Linked DNA regions of Daphnia pulex. The protein of the gene in region 1 interacts with the protein of each later gene in a pairwise test. Links are inferred from orthologs where the notes say so. Each region holds a gene or a part of one and is shown on either strand. Other genes may lie near its edges. The genes, in order: atypical protein kinase C-like and protein numb-like.

Region 1 (7,514 bases):
GTTGTCGTAATGTCTAGAGAAAATAAAAGAGAGTTAGGCAACTAAGAACACGAATTTTAAAAATCAAACGAATACCAGCAGAACACAACAGAATTAAAATTGTGATCGTTTGCCGCCAATACAATCGTGTTGCCAAGCTTTTAATGGCGTTGGTTTCTTAACAACGATTTAAAATTATTTTTATGATACAATAGAAATCTGTATTTTTTTTTTTAACTTTTAACTTTTTCAATGGTTTTGATTTCCATGATGGTGGCGATGAGCTCGAGAAAACATTTCCCTCCAGGGCTAAATGCGTTGTTCAGCCATGCCGCCAAAAATCGACGGCTAGCGTTCTTCATTTGTCTACGTTGTTGTTGCCTAGGGGGCTAGCGGTGGCGCTGTTCCACCACGGCGCCATCTATCTAGCTGGTGCCAGGCAATAGACTCCGAATTGTCTTTCCCGTGCCGCTCGTGGCAGAACGTAAGTATTGAATTGATATTCTACCTTTTTCCTTAGTCTTATTTCGCATATTGATATCGGTAATTGTAGTTAGTTTAATAGCCAAAGTCTCCGTTACAAATTTGTGTTCACTTTAATCGTGTTGTTGACGTTTGTATTTCTGATAGTTGTGTTTTTTGGGCTTGGTAAACGCTGGTGGTCGAAGTAGGAATGACACATGGCACATGAGGTTACTTTGGGCGCCATGTTGGGATTTTAACCGGCCTTTTCCACATATTATTGTTGCATATTCATTAGCCTACAGTAGTGTTCTCATGTAATTGGATTCCATATCCTTATTCCTTTTTTTCAGTTATATTTCTTTGGGTATTTAGTACTGTTGTCAAATTAAACTTAACGCCGTTGTAATAACTATAGTAGTCAGCTGCTGCGGCAGTGATCAATATAGAAGATAGTACTGAAATCGCTACCCCATTGATGTGAATGTTTCTAATCACTTTCTTTTTGTCACAGTGATTCTATATATCCATTCCCCTGAACTTGTACAACATGGCAGAGCTTGAAGACACTCAGTTCGAGTCAGGGGATTCTGGAGCTTCAGCAACATTTCCCATGCAATGCTCTGCTCTTCGCAAGAACGGTTTCGTCATGTTGAAGGTGATTATATAATAATAGAAATTATTTTAATCTTCATTGTACTTAAAGTGAATTTCATTTGAAGGCAAGGCCTTGCAAGATTGTTGAGATGTCCACATCCAAGACTGGCAAACATGGCCACGCCAAGGTTCACATGGTTGGTATCGACATTTTCAATGGCAAGAAACTTGAAGATATTTGCCCTTCCACCCACAACATGGATGTCCCTGTTGTCAAGAGGGAGGATTTCACTGTAATATAAAATTACAACTTTGATTATGTTAGTTTGGAATTAACAAAATTTTTGTTTTAGCTCATTGACATATCTGGTGATGGCTTTCTTTCAATGATGAATGACAACGGAGATTTGCGTGAAGATCTCAAGGTTCCAGAAGGAGACTTGGGTAACCAAATCAGGGCTGATTTCGAAAATGGTCGCGAACTTCTGGTAAGCTAATTTTACCCTATGCGATGTATTGTTCAATTTGATATTAAGAGTGGATGTATAATCACCTGTTTTTTCTTCTATAGTGTACCGTTTTGAAAGCCTGCGGCGAAGAGTGTGTGATTGCCGTTAAAGCCAACACAGCTGCCGAAAAGTAATTCACACAAATTTGTGAAGTTTCACTTCCAACTGGTTACCAATAAAAATGGAGAGAAACACAAAAAAATAAACGGGAAACAGCTGTGGATATTGGATTTAAATTCTACTTTCTTTCTTTTAATTTTGCCTACTACCGATTGATGTAAATCGTGGGGAGAAATGGGTATCTTGACCTTGTTGCCTCGTTTCATTGGATAAGTCCATCTCTTGTTCTGGTTTATTATTGCCTCCCCCGTTCGACCCAATGGGTCAATAGACAGACTTGTTAATGAACACTACGCTATTCTGCAGTTGATTGCAAGATAGTTGTTTAACCTAAACCTTACTCATACCCATTTCCCATGCAGCAAAACGAAAGAGTTCAATAAACCAATTTCAAGCACTTCAAAAATAATGGAGCCTTAAATTTAACGATTTTTACTTCAAACTTTTATTTTCCAATCACTCAACATGTGAATTGAAGCAAAACGGGCAACAACTTGATTGGGTAATGGATGTTATACTTTACAGGAGGGGAAAAACTTGGTTGAATAAGGGAAATAATAGGAAAATGCAATTTATAATATTATGTATCAGTTAAGGATCGCTTTTTCCTTGTCTTTTCTGCAAAGCATTAGCCAGATCTTCGCTGAAAGCCTGCTTTTGCTTTTGATCGGCCAAAGGCTGAATGGAACGCAGCCCGTTGACAATATCCTTAGTCTTACCGAAGTAAATTTCATTCAAAGTGTGCCTAATTTTGTTCTCCATATCTTCGACAAGACGACCCATGTTTACGATGTGCGACGTAGGCTCGCTTACTGTTCCGTCTTGCTCCATCTAACACGAGAGAAAAAATCGGTTCAATTTAAGGGAAATATCTCATGGTCATAAAAGTAAACAATAATATTACCTGACGCGTTAAGCTTCCACCAAGGTTCATCGTTCCGGAACCGGGACGACTGGTCTGCAGCCATAGCATGACTGTCGACGTAAGCTTATAGTGAGCCGAACGGCCGGTAGACTTTTCTTGCACTTCAATGACATGAATCGAATCCCAGCACCCTTTAATATTTCGAGCGCCATCACCAGCTCGTTTTATAAGAATGACTCCAGCAAATCCATGATCCAGGTCCCATAGGTACACAGAGGAGACTCCACCCTCAAAATACATCTGACGGTATTGATCAAATGCAGCATTGGCCTCTACTTCCAATCTACGTAGCCTGTCCGTGGGCAGTGTTCCATCTTCAAGAGGTGGTTCATAGGTGTTGCTCCATGGAGAACTGACAGATCAACATTTGTTATTATTAGGGTCAAGTTTTCAACACAACTGTAAATACTGTTACCGATAAGAATCTCCATCACGGTTATAATCACAGAGAAGATAATCTTTTCCTTCTCTCTTATCACGTGCAATTTTAAGTGGTTGATCCACTGATGATAGAAGATCCTCACACAGTTCAGGAACTAGGTCAATCAGGTCACTCAGGTTTTTTTCAATTTGCTGAGGAGGGAGACGTCGCATTAAGTCCAACGCTCGGTTCAATTGCTCCTCCGTCTGCAGAAACAAATAACAAGAGAAATATTATTAGACAAGTCAAATGTCAAATAAAATTTTCACTCTGAAATTGGAGGTTTAATACTAGCCGAAAATATGAATAAATTCGATTTTTAACTTACCATTGTTCAAAATGGACAGAAACGACAAACTTTTGAGATAATAAAATGGAACTGAAAAGGATTTCCGGCCTTTTTTCCCAGGAAAAACCAAAAAATGGGCGAGGTGAAAAATGAGTGGCGGTGACAAACAGAAATGTATGTTCTGAATCCGAAGTTGCGCTAAGCAATGAAAATCTCTGCCTGCTGGGAAATAAAAAAACGGTTGCGGATTCGAATTAGAATTCGAGATAAATCCACATATTAAATGACGGAAGTGTTGTTGGTCATTAAATAATAGCTGAGAATATTTAAAAAACAATTACAAAAACGATTTTTCTTTAAAATCAATCAAGTTTTGATCAATCTCGGAGAACGCCTCCTGGCGGCTGCATAGAAGGTTAATCCTCGAAACGTCAGTTTTGCCAGTATTAACCGCCTGACTCATATTTTTAGGTTAAAACTAAAAGTGTTTTCTGTTAGAAGTTTAAAGAAGTTATAGTGGAATCGTGGTTCACAATCAGTGATAGCCTCAAATGGTTACAATAGTCCGGCTGCCGTGAGGACTTGTTTGTAATTTTGAGGAAACGGCCAATTTGTGCCCAACCCACCTGTTGTTTTAAATGACGATGCCCACCACCCTCGTGAGTGATGGGGAAAAGGCCGAAATCAAAGTCAAGGCAGCTTTCAGCGGGTATACTTCATGTTTTTTTTTTCAATCTTTGTATGTACTTACCTCATTAGTTATTTTGCAGGAAAATTCTCGTGACTTACATAAACTCTGAGATCCTGTTGGATGATCTCCAAAATGAGATGCGAGCCATTTGCCAGTTTTCTCCTGATCAAGAGTTTACCATGAAATGGATTGACGAAGAAGGTTGTACAACACATACAATCCACACAGTTTTCTTTTACTATGATTTACATCCCTTTAGGTGATCCATGTACTATCTCTTCACAAGTTGAAATTGATGAAGCTATTCGTCTGTATGAAGTGAACAACGATTCAGAAATCACTATTCATGGTATTTTTTAATTCTACTTGTGTATAAACTTGAAATTTAATTACTCTTTTTAAAATTCAGTTTTCCCTAGTGTCCCTGTGTCACCAGGGCTTCCATGTTTTGGAGAAGATAAAAGTATTTATCGACGTGGTGCTCGTAGATGGCGGAAACTGTACAGAGTCAATGGACATCTTTTCCAGGCAAAACGTTTCAATCGCGTAAGTTTATCCATGCAACACCATTGATTCCCAGTAATCCTTACTTTCCATTTTTATGACAGAGAGCTTCTTGCGCTTACTGTCACGACCGTATCTGGGGTCTAGGTCGGCAAGGATTCAAATGCATTCAGTGCAAGCTGCTCATCCACAAAAAGTGCCACAAGCTTATCAAGATCAGTTGCAACACGGAGCAAGTGGCCGCTCTGAACACTCCATCCCAGGTTCATCTACTGTCAAATAGCGCGCTCAATACCAGTTCAGGGTCCGCAGTGACCGCTGCTGCTATTCCATCTATAAGCCCTGTTGTTAATGCCGGAGAACCCCCGACAGCGCTGCGACAGAATGGTGATGGTACCGAAGCACCGTCCGCACCGCCAATAGTACAACCTATTTTTGAGTCTCACAGTGTGAGTGTTCCGGTTGATGGAAGTCCAGGTACTTTATATTTCCATACAAAACAATTCAGATTTTTAATTGTATACTTTAAAATATTAGAAGAAGGTGTCGAAGGTGGTGCTGTTCAACGTCCGTATTCGATGGCGGATTTTGAATTGATTCGTGTGATTGGTCGTGGTTCTTATGCTAAAGTGTTGATGGTTGAATTACGACGAACTCGTCGGGTTTACGCCATGAAAGTAATCAAAAAGGAACTTGTTACCGATGATGAGGTATAAGAAAATTGATTCTTTGATTTTATCAACAACTTCTTCTAATTGAACAACTCGACTTTCAGGATATTGACTGGGTTCAAACGGAAAAACATGTCTTTGAGACGGCATCCAACCATCCTTTCTTGGTTGGCTTGCATTCGTGTTTCCAGACGACGTCACGCCTTTTCTTTGTCATCGAATTCGTACGTGGTGGTGATTTAATGTTCCACATGCAGCGCCAAAGGCGACTTCCTGAGGAGCACGCTCGATTCTATTCGGCTGAAATTTCTTTGGCGCTCAATTTCCTACACGAGAAAGGAATTATTTACCGTGATCTGAAGCTAGATAACGTCCTACTGGACCATGAAGGTCATATCAAACTCACCGACTACGGAATGTGCAAAGAGGGCATCCGTCCGGGTGATACCACGTCTACCTTTTGTGGTACGCCCAACTATATCGCTCCTGAAATTCTGCGCGGAGAAGACTACAGTTTCAGGTAATGTTTACAAATTAAACCCAATAGAATCTGGAACGCTAACTCCCCTGTAGCGAAAATGTCTAACCTTTTTCTTCGTTTTTATCAGTGTGGATTGGTGGGCGCTGGGTGTATTGTTGTATGAAATGTTGGCCGGTCGTTCACCTTTCGACATCGTCGGCGCTTCAGAGAATCCTGACCAAAACACTGAAGATTATCTGTTTCACGGTAGAGCTTCATCTTGTCTTCTTTATTATAATATTTGCTTTGTGGAAACTCGCGAGTCCATTTGATAAAGTTCGCAAGAAAAACGGGGTCTTATCAAGATCGCGTGACCTTTTTCCACTTGAGAGGATTGTAAATGTGTTGTTTGTAAAACATTGTGTGTTTTTTCTTTTCTTTTCATATTGCAGTCATCCTGGAAAAGACGATTCGCATTCCCAGGTCGTTATCTGTGAAGGCTTCTTCTGTCCTCAAAGGGTTTCTTAATAAGAATCCAGCTGATCGTTTGGGTTGTCGAAAAGAAACGGGCTTTGTCGATATCGTCCATCATCCATTCTTTAAATCAGTCGACTGGGAAATGGTATGAACATCTCTCTCTTTTACACGTTTAATCCACATTCTAGGAACAGATTACTAATCTTTTTTCATACGTGCACAGTTGGAGAAGAAACAAGTGGCTCCACCTTACGTGCCTCGTCTAGATTCCGACCGTGATCTGGCTCACTTTCCACCCGAGTTCACAGACGAACCAGTCCAACTGACACCCGACGATCAGTAAGTGATGGATCGTCTGTCGATTAAGAATCGATTTTTATTTTTGTTTTATTTTTTGTTGCTTTGCAGGACGGTCATTGAACGCATCGATCAGTCTGAGTTTGAAGGTTTCGAGTACGTCAATCCTTTGCTCATGTCATTGGAAGACTGCGTCTAGGATTAGAATAGAAAACGAAGCATTCGCTTTCATGCCATTATAAGATTTACACTAAAAATTGGAACCACACACACACATGTTTCATAGGGAAAGTTTGGCAGGTTTCACGGCAGCAAAAATTCTAACAGCCTACCATTTCTTCTCTTTCGTTTTTTTCCCCCTCCCCTTTTCACCATCAGTTTATTCGGTCCAGTATTTTTAAATATGATAGATCAAGTCTTAATCGACTTTGCGTCCATTCCAGTTCTTGCCTCATTGGAACATCTTTCTTTCCCTCCGTCACCTTTTCGATCTGTTGTACAACTGCCTTCATCTCTTTTGTCTTCTTTTCTTTTTGTGTCACTTTTAAAAGCCATTTTGTTTTGGTCACTTTTAGCCAAAAAGAAAATCTCTGTCTGGTTAATTATTATATTTCCGCCTTACACAGATCGCCTTTTTCCGTCTTGTTAGAAATATACAAGAAAGATGTCGACACAATCAGCTAGATGGCATCCACAGTCAAGAAATGGTGGTGGCCTTTTAATATTATAATTGGTGAAACCTGTTGTTGTTCGATGGGAAAGGCATTTCTACGGTACGACGTGCCGTTAGCACAATCGTTGGTTGTCTTTATGCTAAACGATGTAATGCAGAGGAAAAAGGGGTTTATTACTAAATATCGATGAGAGAAAAGTAGTTTTTATCACGCACGAAACCACTCGTTTATTGGTTGAAATTTTTCGAACGAAGAAAGGAAAGAAAAAAAAAGCGTGTAGGAGGAAGTCGTTGTCGGACATTTCTTTTCTAGAAAGAAACGAACATCGACCGTTTTGCGGTTGGATTCCCCTATACATTTAAAGAGATACACACACACAAACTCGTCTTGTGTGTGTGTGTAAAGGAATAAAGAAAACCCCAGAAAACATTTTACGCT
Region 2 (7,518 bases), on another chromosome or scaffold:
TTTGATGAAATCGGGCAAATTGAAAGGAGGCTTTTCTATTCCACGTTTTCCCTAAAGTACAAAAAAATTTGTTTAAAACGAATTGTTTACCCTTTGTGCATAGTAAAATATACCTGTAAGTACTTGCGCTTCGCACACCAATGTCGAGGAACTGGGACCGAATTTCTGGTTGCTTTCAAAAGAACTAACAGTTTGGGGTCTCTAGCAGTAACGTCGTGCATCTCTACGACGTCTGGTCTGGCAACACATTGCTTCAAATCGGCCACACTTAGTCGAGTAAGTTGTTTTAGTTTTCTTTTTGAAACTTTTGGCTTGTCATCATCAGCATTTTCCTTTTTCTCCTCCAAATCTTCCTCTTCTGCAAACTTGGGGACCTTCTTAAGTTCTAAACTTCTTTGAAGTTCTTTCTTTTTGGCTTCATCTTCTTCAGCTTTCTTTGCAGTTTTTTCATCAATGATTTTAAATGCTTCGAAGATTTTGGCAAACTGTCGGTAGAAAGGATTTTTGTCGTCATAAATGATTTCTTCCTGGACATACTCAATATCCACTTGTGGAGGTTCTTCAGCATCATCATTCCTTTCATTTTCTTCTTCTTCTTCTTTCTGTTGATGTCTCTTAGTGCGCTTCTTCTTCTTTTTCTTCTTTTGATTTCTTTGAGTTTTAGTTTTTTCTTCAAGGTTTTCTTCCCCACCGAAATCATCTTTCCTCTCTTCAATAGTTCCTTCAGTTTCTATAACTGTTTTGACAGGGATTTCATTAACTAAAAAAAAAATAGAAAAGAATAAAGTTCATTCCTGCAAGCGAAACCTTTCATGAAGACTAGAAAATTTATAAAAGTGTTACTCACTAATGTTATCAACCTCTCCAGAGTGGCCCGTTTCTCGTACTCGGTATTCTTTGTAAGCAAGGACTTCTTCAAGTGCTGATGGGAGATGTTCATGGGCGGGAATGTCTTCATCACCTGGAGGAGGTGACATCGGTCTAGCACCTGATCCATACATACCGACAGCATTACCCTGGAAGGACCTTGAAGGATCTCCATACATGTAATTCTCCTGGCCGTAGCCGGGCGGCATGTGATGATCCATGTCAAATTCAACTAAATAACTTTCTGTTTCTAAAGAATAATCACACAATCAAAAGGGTGTTTCAAATCAATAGACAAAATAGACGCGTCCAAGTAAAACACGATGAAGTTTTACGTTAATTTAAAACTGCCTTGAAAGAAACACGATAGCAAAACAAGTTTGTTAGAGAACCAAACGGGTGAAGCGAGTAAACGACGACCAAATGAAGCCGAATCTAAAAGCCATGATCAAATCGTATATTCATTGAGGTACCACAGAAAACCAGCAGATGGCGTTCACGACGCGCCCTAAATTTTTAATAAAGGCTTGTGCACACTATCAACACCAGATGGCAGTCTGATGAATCTTAAATGATTTTTTTTTGTGGTGGCACACTGAGAGAGATGCAGTTGCAGTCAAAACGGTTTCTTAAACCGAAGTGCTCTGAGAGTATTGCTAAAGCGGTGGGAGTGGTGTGATTAGTTAGTTTGTGAACGTATTGTTTTCATTGAGATCGTCCAGTTCATCGCGAGGCCGGTAAGTTTGGCCGATTCTGTTTTGGTGTGTGTTGACAGGCTTTTCGTCGGGGCTTGTTTTCAGTTTCTCATTCAAGGCAGTCTTGGTTGGTTTTCTCTCTGCCCAGAGGTCTACAGCATCAAGTGAAACCGACGGCATTTGTTCTCTCCCCTTTACGTTTGTACATACCTTTTGTAGATTGTTTTTTCCAGCCTATTTGATATTATCGTTTTTCGATGGGAAAATTCTCATCGACAATCACATTTTCGTAAAATCTGATGAGAAACGTTGCGTGTGGCCATTTCACCCCTCTTGAGATTTTTTGGTGTCGGTGAACCGATCAAACGTTGGTAGAAGCTAAAAGAGAAATCAGTTTCATTATCAACAACCCTGATGTGAGATGTGCCTGTGAGCCGGATCGATAAGAGACTTTCATCACACAGGCCGTGTAGCAACTTCACTAGGTCTCTCTCAGACTCTCACGCCATTACGTATACACGTTGACATTCTTTCCACGAAGCCATTACCGTTTCTTTTTCTCTCCTTGTCTCTCATATACGTTTACGGTTTTATTTTTTCTTTTTTTTGACGATGAGTGAAAGAGTCGGCCTTTTTCGCCATAGGGCATTGTTGATCCAGGGTCAGTGCAACCGCAAGGCCAAGAAACTAACCAATTTGGTTGCTTTTCCCACTTTGAAGATTGTGTGTGTGTGTGCTGCAGCTAGTAGTAGTATATTTATTATCAGTAGATTATTAAGCAACCCTTGTCCTCTAACCGTCTGCTGACATGCTTATCGATATATCATTTGCAGACGAGGTAACTTCATTTATTGATTCGACCCTTGGCTGGCTTTGAACAAAGGTAAATCATGAACGTAATCTACCTTGCCCTGCATTGATATCGTGTTGGTTTCTATGACATGAAAGAGAAAGTGATGGCCACATCACGTTGATGTTTGCCGGACGTATCACAGGACTAACTGATAAAAGCAAAGTGTCCTTCAACGACGTAGGGCTCTCTCATGTGGTTCGTTCACCTCCTCTGTTGCGGGTCCATTCATATTCATGTATGCAATAACCCCCGTACGAGATGTGATCCGTCACCATAGATGCCATCATCGGGAAAAAACAATTTCGATGAAGCCCATCTCTTGTTATTATTATTTTCGATGCTAACCCCGAGACTGTAGGAATCGGCTGCTACCTTTTTTGTCTAGCTGGAAAGAAGAGAGAAATAAGTCAGTAAAAAGGTAGAAGAAAAGACAGAAAAGAAGGAGGGAGTTCAAAGATGGCCTCGAGCTGAACAAGCATGAAGGCCAAAGCCTCATGTTACATACCTATGGCAACACGAAGGGAGCCAACCACGGTCGCATGCGTCTATATACCTGGTCGGGACTACATTCCACTCTTTGGCAGTAGTTTGCTTGGGTTTCTCACGTCACGGGCGCCATTTTGATGGTCCGCCTTGCTGGGGAACGTTCGCTTGTTGTTATAGTCTGCTCCTCCAGCAGCTTCGCGGTCGTTCTCATCGATTTCCCTCCCGACGTGATTCAACTGGACAGACGTTTTGCGTCCGTTTTACGCCATTTCGTTTCTGTGTTTTACGGCCGAGTGTGATCTTTTTTAAGAGTGAACTAGATTGTGACTACTGTGTGTGACGTGTGTTTGCACGTGCGGAATCGTTTGTGCAACCCAAAGAAATAAGACGGAAATATTTGCTCGTCTTTCTGTTTTACCGGAATGGCAACTGGGCGGATATCTCTTATTTTCTGACTTTACGGGTCGCCGGTGCCGGCGTAATGGAAACCGGCCGTGTGACGACGCACGAATTTAATTCGCACGGATCTTGATGCACATCTAGTTTTTCGTTCATCTACAAAATATCCAACAAAAAACTCTTTTACATTTTATTTTGCACACATTGCACCACCAAATCTTAATTTAAAAAAAAACCAAAACATGGGCAACGCCCATTCTGCTCTTCCGCACGATCCGCTCGAATCGGCCGTAACCCATCCGATCGCTCCGGTGGCCAATGAAATCGACAAGGTGATCGGGTCTCTTATATTTTAATTCCTGCTTAACATTTGACCGTGGCCAACTCGATTTGGTCGAATCAAGGAAACTTTCTAAGAATGTATCGGGTAATTTTAGTTGAGGAAGCAAAAGGTTAAAAAAGATTGGAATGTGGGCTAGGTTGGGTCTCGGAGCGTGTAACACGTTGCGTCTTACCTGGGGCGTAGCGATGACCTGTTGCCCTCTGGCGTTAGCTGACGTGTGAAGCGACGTCACGCCCCCCTTTCCTCTGAGGCTCCAGCTCCTCCTCTTTGATCTTGCCATGTTTTTCTTTTTCACGTGTGTGTGTGTGTCTGTCGTTTCCCGAACGGAGATGCCCTATTCTTTTATTATCTCACAAGTTGCTGTTTATTCTTTGGGTAATAATCAAGATTCGGTCGAAAGAATATCTCTCTTGGCAATGGCGCGCCGTCTCGACGTGCCCGCGCTTGAGAAACAATCGATAATATTCGGGGCGTGTGGGTTCTCGTTTCTTTCGTTAATTTTTTATTATTCCACCGAGGTACCGTACTCTTCAGGGCATGATTCATTGCGTGCGTTTGCGAAAGCGTAACGGGATAGTTGCGCTAACTGAACGAATTTGCCGTTATGTTGCAACGTTAATTTCTCCATGAAACGGCTGGAATGGCCGGAATTCGGGTTGGACCCGACACCATTGCAGATCGCGGCGTCTCTAATATTTTGCTTCGGTTTTTCTTATTGCAGGCTGAGAAGAGCGAGACCAAGGAGAGCGGACGCCATAAGAGGATGGAGCGATTGCGGAGAAGCTTCCGCGAAAGTTTCCGTCGCCGCAAAGACCACGTCCCCGAGAGTTCAAAACCGCACCAATGGCAGTCGGACGAGGCTGCCGTTCGAGCTGGAACTTGCAATTTTTACGTCAAGGTTCGTGAGCACGTTATATACATTGTGCAGGACGTATATTTTTGTTGTTGACGTTTGGCAGGAATCCACGTGGTTCTATTTATTTGCGATTCGCTCACCTTTTTGAATTTTTATTTTTTCCAGTATCTGGGATGCGTGGAAGTGTACGAGTCACGTGGTATGCCTGTTTGCGAGGAAGCACTCAAAGTGCTCAGGGTAAAATATTCATTTCCATTGAAACGATGATGACAAAATATTCCACATTTATTTATTTATTCATTCCCAAAACAGAATTCTAGACGTCGACCAGTAAAAGGCGTTCTGCACATTTCCGGCGATGGATTACGAGTTGTCGAAGAAGACACCAAAGTATGAAATTTCCGTTGATTTCGTCACCGACATCTTAGACTCACTTTTCTCTCTATTGCATCGTGAATCACAGGGATTGATTGTCGACCAGACGATTGAGAAAGTCTCCTTTTGTGCTCCGGATCGTAATCACGAAAAAGGATTCTCGTACATCTGTCGTGATGGTACTACGCGTCGTTGGATGTGCCACGGATTCTTGGCCAGCAAAGACTCGGTGAGGATCGTAAATGAATTGCTGTCAATCCAACAGAGAGAGAGAGAGACAAGCTTGATTACCCCAATAATGAAAGTGGCCATCGTCAATGATAATGGATTGACGGTTTCCGGTCTTATTTCCTCCTTTGACTTACGCTGGTTATTAATACTATTGTTGATGCCCTGGTTTTTTTCTTTTTTCAGGGAGAGCGGTTGAGTCATGCAGTGGGTTGCGCTTTTGCCGTTTGCTTGGAACGGAAACAAAAACGAGATAAGGAGTGCAGCGTGACGATGAATTTCGACACCTCCAACTCTACATTCACGCGCTCGGGCAGTTTTAGAGCAGCGCCCTTGACGGAACGCATTCAAGATCCGCAGGAATACAGACCGGCCGGTAATACCTCACATCTATTTCTTGAGCCCAAAAGTGACTCATGCATCTCACGTGTTGATTGCTCATTGTGGGAAATTCTAGAACCACCGGCGCCGGCCAAGGCAGTGGTCAATCCGTTCGCCATTGAACGTCCCCACGCTGCTCCGCACCTGCTCGAGCGACAAGGCTCATTTCGTGGGCTCTCCCAGCTCAATCAGAGTTCACCTTTCAAACGTCAGATGTCGCTTCGAATCGGAGATTTACCCTCGACCGTCGAACGCCAACAAAACTCGTTGAGCAATGAAGCACCCAGCTACAAGTCCAACCTGATCGTCACGCCTGGTAAACATTTCTTCGTTATTTTTCGTCTGGCTCATTCGTCTCCCCATTGCGGCTTTTTACCGTCCTTGTTCCAGTACCGTAGACGATCCTTTTTTTGTTTGTTCGTGGGTGTTGATGGTGTTTTTTTTCTTCTCTATTGCAATGTGTCTGATGCATGCTTCGATCCCATTCGTCCACCGTACAGAAAGTCCTCAGCCTCCTCCTCGAGTCAGTCGTCACCGTATGCAGCCATCTCCTAGCCAAGACTCATCTAGTGAGTGAATGCATTACTTTTTTGTTTTGTTGCTTTTCCATTTCCCGCTTGGAAATTTTGATTGGACCACCAATTTGAGTGACATGTCAAAGACTTTTCAGTTAACCGATCAGAGACAATTTTTAATTAATTGTTTTCATGGATTTGCTATTAAAGTGACTCCGATTCCGGAAACTTCGCCTATGGTAGAACGTTCCAACGCAGTTAGCGCCATGTGTCAGCAGCTATCCCAAGGATTGTCACTCTTATCGTCTACTGATGATCCCTTCCTGGTGGACAACAAAGTCAACGTAAAGTTTTATTTTTCATTTGTTTTTAGATTAATGTTAATAGAGGCTAATTTGGACTTTATATTTTTCAAATAGATGGTCCCACCCACTAACGGATTCCAGGTGAACAATAAGGAAGCGTCGGTGAACAATCCAATGTCACGAGGGGAACAGTGGCTGGGCAGTTTAACGGCCAGCGTGGCGTCCCAAGGACCGAGCTCGCTGCCGCCACGTCGCCCGCCTGCCTTGATGGCTCATTCACGATCCCAATCACTAGGATCGCCCCCAGAAGCTCCTTCCATTGCTCCGGCCAGTCATTCTTTGGCCACTCCGCCACCACACTTGCCGGCGATACCACCGCGCAGTCCTTTCCACACGGCTCTTCATTCCTCTTCTTCTTCGCCCACCAGTACGCCGGCACATCATTCCCCGTCAATCACCAATCGAACAAACGCACTAATATCGGATCCGTTCGACGCCGAATGGGCCGCTTTAGCCACGCGCAGTCCCAGCAACACAAATCCTTTTCTTCAGAATTCTGTCGTCAAGACCTTTGAAGTTCGTATGTAGAGACGATGGCACACTTCTTTTCAGTAATTCTTCCTTCCCCCGTTACCCTGAGACAACTAACCCATCAGTGGTTTTACCTTTTTTTTTTAAATGCCAGACTGATTTGATGTATTATATATACCTCTCCCATACCAACCCTTAAAAATTCCTTCTTTCTTTAATTTTTCTTTCAAGAAAACACAGACATTCCTATACTTCGTGTGCCGGAACGCTCTTAATTTTGCCATCATCATTTTTTGTGCTTTGTTTTTCCTCTTAGATATCATTTGATTTGATCCCTGCCAATTCAAAGTTTGCCCCTTGTGCAACGATGGCGGGATATGAACCTTTACAACAGTTCTAAAAATTTGCGATGCCCATTCCCTATATTTCGCTGAGCTGTCAAAGCTGGCCAGATCTCGCGCGTGGGTATTGAAACATGAACTAATTCCATCCTTTTATTTTAAATTTCGCATCGACTTGGTCATGTAGTGATGCTGTCGGCTGAAATTAGTAGATAGGGTGAGGAGAGACGGGAACGAACGATTATTTTGGTTAACTTTTGTTTTTAGTTTTGTCGTCCATTTCGCACCAGACTGTTGCCCTCCTAAACAACGGACAATTAACGATTTGATTTCGATCCGCAGG

Evidence for each region.
Region 2: the proteins of atypical protein kinase C-like (region 1) and protein numb-like interact in binary tests that used the Caenorhabditis elegans proteins (3 or more experiments, as listed by UniProt). The link is inferred for Daphnia pulex from reciprocal best matches to the Caenorhabditis elegans genes pkc-3 and num-1.

Annotation. Positions count from the first base shown.
Region 1 is NC_060022.1:4,024,291-4,031,804, forward strand, and holds atypical protein kinase C-like, read left to right. Parts: upstream 1-3,692; 5' UTR 3,693-3,940; coding exon 3,941-4,011; intron 4,012-4,072; coding exon 4,073-4,194; intron 4,195-4,252; coding exon 4,253-4,342; intron 4,343-4,402; coding exon 4,403-4,539; intron 4,540-4,601; coding exon 4,602-4,974; intron 4,975-5,034; coding exon 5,035-5,207; intron 5,208-5,272; coding exon 5,273-5,688; intron 5,689-5,776; coding exon 5,777-5,895; intron 5,896-6,080; coding exon 6,081-6,250; intron 6,251-6,328; coding exon 6,329-6,444; intron 6,445-6,513; coding exon 6,514-6,601; 3' UTR 6,602-7,078; downstream 7,079-7,514. Other genes in the region: eukaryotic translation initiation factor 5A, read left to right, coding at 992-1,099, 1,164-1,331, 1,392-1,526, 1,610-1,681; F-actin-capping protein subunit beta-like, read right to left, coding at 2,259-2,498, 2,572-2,944, 3,008-3,219, 3,342-3,344.
Region 2 is NC_060020.1:5,120,128-5,127,645, reverse strand, and holds the start of protein numb-like, read left to right. Parts: upstream 1-2,509; 5' UTR 2,510-3,542; coding exon 3,543-3,632; intron 3,633-4,364; coding exon 4,365-4,541; intron 4,542-4,664; coding exon 4,665-4,736; intron 4,737-4,811; coding exon 4,812-4,889; intron 4,890-4,962; coding exon 4,963-5,103; intron 5,104-5,288; coding exon 5,289-5,478; intron 5,479-5,559; coding exon 5,560-5,799; intron 5,800-5,983; coding exon 5,984-6,052; intron 6,053-6,208; coding exon 6,209-6,342; intron 6,343-6,417; coding exon 6,418-6,891; 3' UTR 6,892-7,518. Other genes in the region: splicing factor 3B subunit 2-like, read right to left, coding at 1-51, 114-760, 848-1,088. UniProt on the Caenorhabditis elegans protein: Involved in the tethering and targeting of pkc-3 to modulate the intracellular distribution of the kinase.